2 linked regions of the Ovis aries genome follow. Each later gene encodes a partner of the first gene's protein in a complex. Links are inferred from orthologs where the notes say so. Each region holds a gene or a part of one and is shown on either strand. Other genes may lie near its edges.

The links.
Region 2: the proteins of RALGAPA2 (region 1) and NKIRAS1 are in contact, whole or in part, in a crystal structure (PDB 9QU1), measured with the Homo sapiens proteins. The link is inferred for Ovis aries from reciprocal best matches to the Homo sapiens genes RALGAPA2 and NKIRAS1. Residues at the interface, in NP_065076.2 of Homo sapiens: Pro20, Lys21, Tyr51, Ser52, Gln53, Phe56, Tyr59, Glu60, Ile63, Arg99, Phe102, Arg103, Trp104, His105, Tyr106, Gln107, Ser108, Lys185, Ile186, Tyr187, Pro188, Glu189; in NP_001364280.1 of Homo sapiens: Lys6, Glu22, Leu24, Leu25, Tyr26, Glu34, Met39, Glu40, Asp41, Val42, Tyr43, Met44, Ala45, Ser46, Val47, Glu48, Lys54, Gln56, His58, Tyr60, His74, Tyr75, Ser77, Phe78, Lys108, Thr162.

What each region holds. Positions count from the first base shown.
Region 1 is NC_056066.1:39,734,041-39,738,401, forward strand, and holds the start of RALGAPA2 (ral GTPase-activating protein subunit alpha-2), read right to left. Parts: upstream 2,814-4,361; 5' UTR 2,664-2,813; coding exon 2,558-2,663; intron 2,479-2,557; exon of another isoform or gene 1-2,478.
Region 2 is NC_056079.1:41,396,276-41,400,052, forward strand, and holds the end of NKIRAS1 (NF-kappa-B inhibitor-interacting Ras-like protein 1), read left to right. Parts: exon of another isoform or gene 1-2,555; coding exon 2,556-2,798; 3' UTR 2,799-3,099; downstream 3,100-3,777. UniProt on the Homo sapiens protein: Atypical Ras-like protein that acts as a potent regulator of NF-kappa-B activity by preventing the degradation of NF-kappa-B inhibitor beta (NFKBIB) by most signals, explaining why NFKBIB is more resistant to degradation.

The sequences.
Region 1 (4,361 bases):
TTAACAACTTTCATATATAACATACAGGAGTGTTAACGACAGTCACCACATTGCACGTTACATTCCTAGTCATTTATTTTATTACGGGAAGTTCGTACTTTCTGACTGCATTCATTCAATTATCTCCCCCCTCCCCCGGCCCCTCCCCCCAACATCCTGCCTCTGGTAAACACAAATCTGGTCTTTTTCTATTTTTTTTAATTTTTATTGGAGTATAGTTGATTTACAATGTTGCATTAGTTTCTGCTGTACAGCAAACTGAATCAGCTATACATATACATATACAAAAGAATTTTAAAATTCTTTTCCCATATAGGACATTACAGTGTACTGAGTAGAGTTCCTGGGCTATACAGTAGGTCCTTATTAGTTAATCTATCTTGCATATATGTTCGTGTGTGTTCAGTTGTGTCTGACTCTTTGCAAACCCAAGGACTGTACCTCGCCAGGATCCTCCGTCCATGGGATTTTCCAGGCAAGAAAACTGGAGTGGGTTGCCATTTCCTGCTCCAGGGGATCTTCCCAACCCAGGGATCAAACCTGCATCTCTTGTGTCTCCGGCATTGGCAGGCAGATCCTTTACCACTGAGCCACCTGGGTGTGTGTATGTCAATCCTGATTCAAATAGTTTCTTGATCTTGGCTAAGTCCTAGCTTTTAGATCAGAAGGTCTTTTTTTCTAAGTAGACTTTTCCATAAAGTAGCAAATCAATAGGGTATGTGATGTGGTGGGACTACCACATTGCTGTACTATTTGTCTTTAAAGCCTTTAAACCCACAGTTGTAGGCAAGAGTTTACACTAAACAGTATGAATCAGAATGCCTCAGACATGTGCACAAAAATCTAGCCCCTACAAATAAAGACTACAGTAACAAACGAAGTACACCAAGCCAATCCACAATAACAACAACAACAGTATACATAAGGAATATGAAAGGGCCCCTCCAGGATACAAAACTGAGGTCAGATGTCTCAATGAAAGGACAAAACAAAGTTCCTCAAAATCAGACACTTTCAAGTGAAACCACAGGGCCTTGAAAATTAATTACTTTCTCAGAACGGTAACAAGGTACTATGTGTCTCTAAGAAACCCAACATCTAGGTTTAATGGATTCTGCCTTTGTAAAATGTAGCCAACTTAATCCTGTACACTTGGACTGAACACAAATTCAAGTTCTCTACCACAGAGTAAGTCCCCAAGCATCAACTGCTTTAAAATACCTCTTTGCTCTGCTCTCCATTATCAATAATGTCCCTGCAGTAGGTGTTAATCAGTCACTAAAGAGCCCCACACAATACAACCTGTGTGTGCCTGGTATTTCAGTACAGGAAGTAGAAAGCTCAGTTTACCAAGAAGACTGCATTTCACTTTCAAAAGTCTTGAAAGCTAATCCCTCTAACAGTACCTAATTTACATTTTATTCTAAACTGACCAAGCCGGCAGTGGCATCTCAAGGAATCTGAGAATGTGAAAAACTTCACTTGGCAAAACTAGGTGTGTGGCTTTTTCTTCCTTAGAGGTACTTCACAGTATAAATAGAAATCATTTGCAACTTTTAATCTCATGAACAAGAGCTTTATTTAAAATTCTCACGGATACAATGAATTCTCTTATGCTCTTTCCTCAAGTGACAGACACATCAAGACTTTGTGCCCTAAATCAGGTGATTTTGCTCCTTTCAAGAAGAAAAAAAGACATCTAGAAGAAACAAAGTATCTTTTTCATAGCCCCCAAATACACTAAGAGAAGTATAGACAGTAAAGGTGTTTACATTCTAAACAAAAATTAAAACTAAAGGAGGTAGAAGAGAAAACAAATAACAGCGGAGCAAACTGGCTACAGATCACAGGTGGCAGGTGAACGGAGGCCTTGGGAACACTTGACACCCACAGGGGTGAGCTTCATCCCAGGTCAAGTGCAGGCCCACCCTGGGGTCTGCAGTTCCTCCACCCAATGGGCTCACAAAAACGCAAGAAGCCACAAAACCGTCAGGGTCATCTTGACAATAAAGCATAAGCAGCCTCCTGGAACCCAGGAAAGTCACCCCTCCCTCCTAGCAATCACGAGGAGCCCCCTTCACACCATGGACACAAAGAAACCGAATCAACCAGATCCACGGGAAGAGAGGTGACACTTAAATTTATCCCGAGGCCATTCGGAGGCTCAGTCTACTGGAGGATCAGACTCAAAAAAAAGTAAAATTAAAAGTGGCAGGGTGGGGGGTGGGGGTGGGGGGCCGGAGATGACAGTTCAATTCAGTCTGCGCTGGGACCACACTTGGGACCACTTAGGGTCTCGGACTCAAACATTAAAATTAGGAACTGGGAGGGGAGATGACAGTTCGATGGGTGCGTGCGACGACCCCCAGGGTTTGCTGGGGAGGGGACCGTCCCACCGCAGCCCGGCTCCGAGGCCCCGGGGGAGGAGGGGTAAGTTTACAACTCAGGGGGACGCCGGCACCCACGCGGAGGGTCTGCTCCCCCGGCCCGGTATCGCAGCCCGACGACCCCCGCCCGATCCCGGCAGGAGCGCGCCCTCGGCCGCGCCGCGCCTCACCCAGCAGCGCCCGCAGGTGCTTCAGGCGGGTCAGCACGTCCTTCTTGGGGTCCAGCACCTTCTGGGTGGACTTCTTCACATCCCCGTGGCTCCTCCGGGAGAACATCCCGCCGCAGGGAGCCGGACCCCCTGCGCCGCGCAGATCACAGCAGAGGGTCGGGCCGGCGCGTGTCGCGCGGGCCGCTCGCCGCCCCCCCTGCCCGGCAGCAGCCGCCAGCGCCGCTGCCGCCGCCTCTCCAGCTCCGGCTCCAGGAAGGAGGGGCGGGGGCCGGGCCGGCGCGGGGCGGGGCAGGAAGGCGGTGTCGACGCGAAACCCGCCGCCCCGCCCCCGCGGGAGGCGCCGGCAGCCACCACCACTCCCCGCCCCCGCCACGGGCGCGGCGCAAGGGCGTGCGATCCGGCCCCGCCGGGGGGCGGGCCCCAGCGGCGCCGCGAGTCACAAAGAAGGTGGCCTCCGCGCGCACGCTGTCCTCCGAGCCCCGGGATGCTCCGTGACAGCGACCTCCAATCAGGCTGGCGTGTTTTCCGCGCGATTGGAGTCAGTGCGCCCGCTCAGGGCGCGTGCCTCGCTCGCCAGGCCACCAGTGCTCCTGGGAAATGTAGTTCTCCAGTAGGCCAGCCCCTGAGACCGCCTCTCCAGATGAGTGCAGCATCTGCCCGACCCTCTACCTACCCCTGGAGGCCCAGGTTTCTGTACCTACAGTCTCCGGCCTGTGCGCCCACCCAGTTCTCTCTACTGCAGCGTGAATCAAGAAACATTCAGTTCACTTCAGTTCAGTCGTTCAGTCGTGTCCGACTCTTTGTGACCCCATGAATTGCAGCACGCCAGGCTTCCCTGTCCATCACCAACTCCCAGAGTTCACTCAAATTCACGTCCATCGAGTCAGTGATGCCATCCAGCCATCTCATCCTCTGTCATCCCCTTCTCCTCCTGCCCCCAGTCCCTCCCAGCATCAGAGTATTTTCCAATGAGTCAACTCTTCACATGAGGTGGCTAAAGTATTGGTTTCAGCTTTAGCATCAGTCCTTCCAAAGAACACCCAGGACTGATCTCCTTTAGGATGGACTGGCTGGATCTCCTTGCAGTCCAAGGGACTCTCAAGAGTCTTCTCCAACACCACAGTTCAAAAGCATCAATTCTTTGGCGCTCAGCCTTCTTCACAGTCCAACTCTCACATCCATACATGACTGCTGGAAAAACCACAGCCTTGACTAGACGGACCTTTGTTGGCAAAGTAATGTCTCAGCTTTTTAATATGCTGTCTAGGTTGGTCATAACTTTCCTTCCAAGGAGTAAGTGTCTTTTAATTTCATGGCTGCAGAAACATTACAGTAGAACAACTTTCAAAGCTTTTACAATGTAAACCATCTAAGTTTTGACTTCTGAGTTCACACCAGGTAGTGAGGTTTCACTTGTGGCTCAGTAGTATAAAAAAATCTGCCTGCAACGCAGGAGTCCTGGGTTCTGTTCCTGGGTCAGGAAGATCCCCTAGAGGAGGGCATGGCGATCCAATCCAGCATTCTTGCTTGGAGAATCCCATGGTCAGAGAAACCTGGTGGGCTACAGTACACGGGGTCCCAAAGAGTTGGATCCGCCTGTGTGACTAACACACAGTGAGGGAAGGAGTGGCAAACCCTTTGGCCATATCAAAATCAGAGCTCCAATTATGCACTAAAATGAACAGCTTTGGCAGTAGGGAAAGGAATGCTTAGACTCTGGGAGAGGAGGCCTTTGGTTCCTGGGACCCATCCTCACTTGGAATATGAGAGTGTTTCACCAGGAGGGCTCCTCAGCTTCTCACCT
Region 2 (3,777 bases), on another chromosome or scaffold:
TCATGTTTGTTTTTAAGAAAATGAATGTTTGCGCATGGTTCATAAATAAAAAGTGTACATCAAAAGGACTCCAGTGAACTCTGGTTCCCACCTGTCCTCAGCCATCCATTTCTGGCACCCAAGTGTGTTTTTTAATATTTTCCCACCTTCCTAGTCGAGGGGCACCCTTGCAGTCTCTGCATATAAATACAAGCAAATAGAAATGCACATATTTTTTCTTAGTCTTCTCTGTTATGCCTGAGGTGGCTTATGGTTCTACGCCTTGCATTTTTCATGTAATACACCTTGGAGTCCTTCCCTAGGAGGACTCAGGATTCCTTTTTTTTTTTTTTAAGCTTGCCTCGTATTCATTGCGTGACTATAGATGTATCATATGTAACCAGCCTCCGGTGGCTGGACACGGGTCACCTCGGGTCACGTGCTGTTATGAACCATGCTACAGTGACTAGTCTTAGACTTTTATTATTTTGCACATGCACTTTAGCAGATAGTTGAAGACCCACCAGCACAAGTTAGGAGCTTGAGTCGAGGGTGAAGACGGTGCAGAGTTGCCCGCTGTAGGGAGACAGTGAAAGCGCCCGTTGTGCAGTCTTGACAACCCTGTGCCTAAATGTCTGGATTTCGTGCCTCTTCTAGGTGAAGGGTGTCTTCGTAGCTTCGTTTTTCCTTCATGTGAAGGAAGTTGAACTTCCTTTTGACTTAGTTTTAAACTGACCGCTCTATGCTGACTCTGACCGTGGGGGACAAGGTGCGAAGCCGCGTTTAGTCCCATAGCTCGCTCTCAAGCACACTGACCTTTAGTGGTTAGCGCTGAGACCGCGGCGGAGGAGTCTGCACAGGAAGTGGCCTCTGAAGCTGGAGCAAGACAAGGGATGAGGGCAGAGAGACCGGAAGGCAAGTGAAGTCGGCGCTTGAAAAAGGAGGGAGTGACCAGGCTGTTAGATGCTGAAGGCAGATCAACAAAGTCAAGTCGTGTTTAAACGCGGAGCACCTCAAAGTCTGCTGGACCGGCTGTGAGGGAGCTGAGCACAGCAAACAGCTCAAGAGCCTGGAGTCAGAGGGTAGGTGTCCTGTCCCATAGACGGGGCAGGGCTTCCCAGGGGCGCAAGAACCTAGTCAAGAACCCGCCTGCCAGTGCAGGAGACCCGGGTTCGATCCCTGGGTGGGGAAGATCCCCTGGAGAAGGACATGGCAGCCCTCTGCAGCATTCTTGCCTGGAGAACCCCATGGACAGAGGAGCCTGGCAGGCTACCGTCCGTGGGGTCGCAAGAGAGTCAGGACTGAAACGACTTGGCACACAGCGCAGAGGGAGACGGGGGCTGGAGAAGGATGTTGGGAGGGTTTCTCAGGTGAGACAGTTGTTTGTGTGCGGGATGGCGCAGCGGAGGGGTGCAGCAGCGAGGGGACGGTTGGTGGAGCGACACCTGATCCAGAGGGTGCACGTGGGCTTAGAGGATGCGGAGGGCTGTTAGGTGCGGTGGTGGAAGTACACTTGCTTCTGGCTTCTGAAGCGTGCCGACGGGTCATCCGCCCGACTGAAGGCATCCCGCCGGGGGGGGGGGGGGGCGTGTGGGGTGACCAGGGGCCGCAGAGCGGCGGGGACGGGGCAGGGGCGGCGCGCAGCCGAGGGGACCCCCTCCCCGCCGGCACCGCAGGGCAGGGCCTGTCCCACTGGCCGCAGGGGAGGCCTCTGTGCAGACGCCGGCCGCGGGGGCGTCTGCGGGCAAAGCGCGCCGCCTCTGCAGTCGGGAAGAGCCGGCGACAAGGATCGGCGCAGGTGAAGCTGGGCGGGGGTAGCAGCGGCCGGGAGGGCGGCTCCTGCTGAGAAGCAGGCGTCACAGGCCGGCCAGAGCGCCTCTGAAGGCGGGGCGGCCCGGGGCTCCGGGCTGTGGCCCCGCCGCCTCCCCACCTCCGGCTTGAGTCAGCTTGGCGGGCCTCTCAACACCCGGATGCCGCTTCCTCCCCGCGGCTTTGGCTGCCCTGTGACTGCTGCCTGCGTCGGCCGAGTGTGCCCAGCGTGGCGAGTGTTCCACTGAGAGAAGGCTCGCTCGCCCTGCCTTTAACGCAGTGTTCCCGTTGGGGCACGCGCTCAGCAGGTACTTCAGTGCCTGCCTCAGGCGCTTTGCTGTGATTTGAACGTGAGTGGAGAGTCAGCTCCCCCGGGTGCAGACCTCTCCTGGCTCCGGGCGCCCTGTTGTGTTTTCAAGGACATCTCACCCATTTCCCAGACAGCAGGTAAGAGCTAAAGTGAAACGCGGGCACGCTCCAGTCAGACTGTTATCTGTACCCCAGGCAGCAATCTCCCGTCTCCCTTCCATTCACACCCCAGGTTATTTCACAGGTTACAGCGTCTCACAGCAGCCGGTTGAGCATTCCTGTTTTTAACAAAATGCACAAAGAAAGCGGTGAGGTGCTGCCCTGCCGTCTTACCACGCAGGTCACGTCTGAGAAGCAGCTCAGATAAAGCGGCTTGTTACACGGCACAGTCTTCCTTCTCCGTTTGGTCTAGGAGCTGGCGCTGCAGTGTGTGACCTTCCCCTCCGTCCCTCCTCCAGGTGGCGATCGTTGTTCTAGGGAACAAAATCGACCTTTCGGAGCAGAGACAGGTGGACGCCGAGGTGGCCCAGCAGTGGGCCAGGAGCGAGAAGGTGCGCCTGTGGGAGGTGACAGTCACCGACCGCAAGACCCTCATCGAGCCCTTCACCCTGCTGGCCAGCAAGCTCTCGCAGCCCCAGAGCAAATCCAGCTTCCCTCTGCCCGGCAGGAAGAGCAAAGGCAACTCGAGCGCGGAGAACTAGAGCTTGAGGCGCGCCAGCGCCCTTCAGTCGGGACTGTCTCTAGGTGTCTGTGAACGTGTTCAAGCCAGGCCGTTTGCGCCTGCCTTGGTTCCTAAGAAACCTCTGATGCACTTTCACTTATCATCAAGTTACTCGGGCCAAGTTGTATTGCCTGATTTTAAATCATGCATTTGCACCCTCCTTGTTTGAAACTTGTCCCTGAATCGAGCACCTGTGCTATTTACATCACATTGTACTTGAATAAAGCCCGGCTGTATGCAGGTGACTGAGTAGCTCTACTCACCTTTAACCTTTCTCAGAAGCGGTCATCCTGTGTCACTTTATGCAGACTTCTCGTCGTCTCATGTCTAGGGCTCTAAAACGACACCTCACATGTGTCCAGATTGGATCACAGACAGTAAACTACTGGAGTACTGAGTTAAGCTAAACTTCATCTGGTGGAGATCTTGCTAAAACAGAACAAAGTGTATGATTTAACTTTGTTGAGGTTGTTTAGCGTGAATTGAGTAGGAGGTGTAAATACGTTCAAACTGGTTCTTCCTTCTTTAGGAAGCTGCTAAACACTAGTAAAGCTTCCACTGTGAACAAGTCACAGTTACCTAACTACTTGGAAGTAAGCAGCAAGCCAGTCAGTCATTTCAACCACGAAAGCAGTTAACTATTGGTTTTAAATGTGAGATAAGTGGCCCAACAACAACAAAATAGTAATTTAAAAGGTCTAGTAAACAGTAGTTATCTTGAATACTTTCAAGATGATGAACTTCAGTGAATTTAAACTCAGTTGGCTGTTAAGTGACTGCAAGGCAAGAACTACGGCATATAAGATACAAAACTTCCATGCTGGCAGCACTGGCCGATTTATAATTAATATTTCTCATCACCTTGTTTTGGTTAAAGAACTATCACTCAGACGGTTAAATCATTCCCTGCCTTCTCTCGTAGTTACTGAGTGTTGAACCTGTAGGTTTTTTTTTTTTTT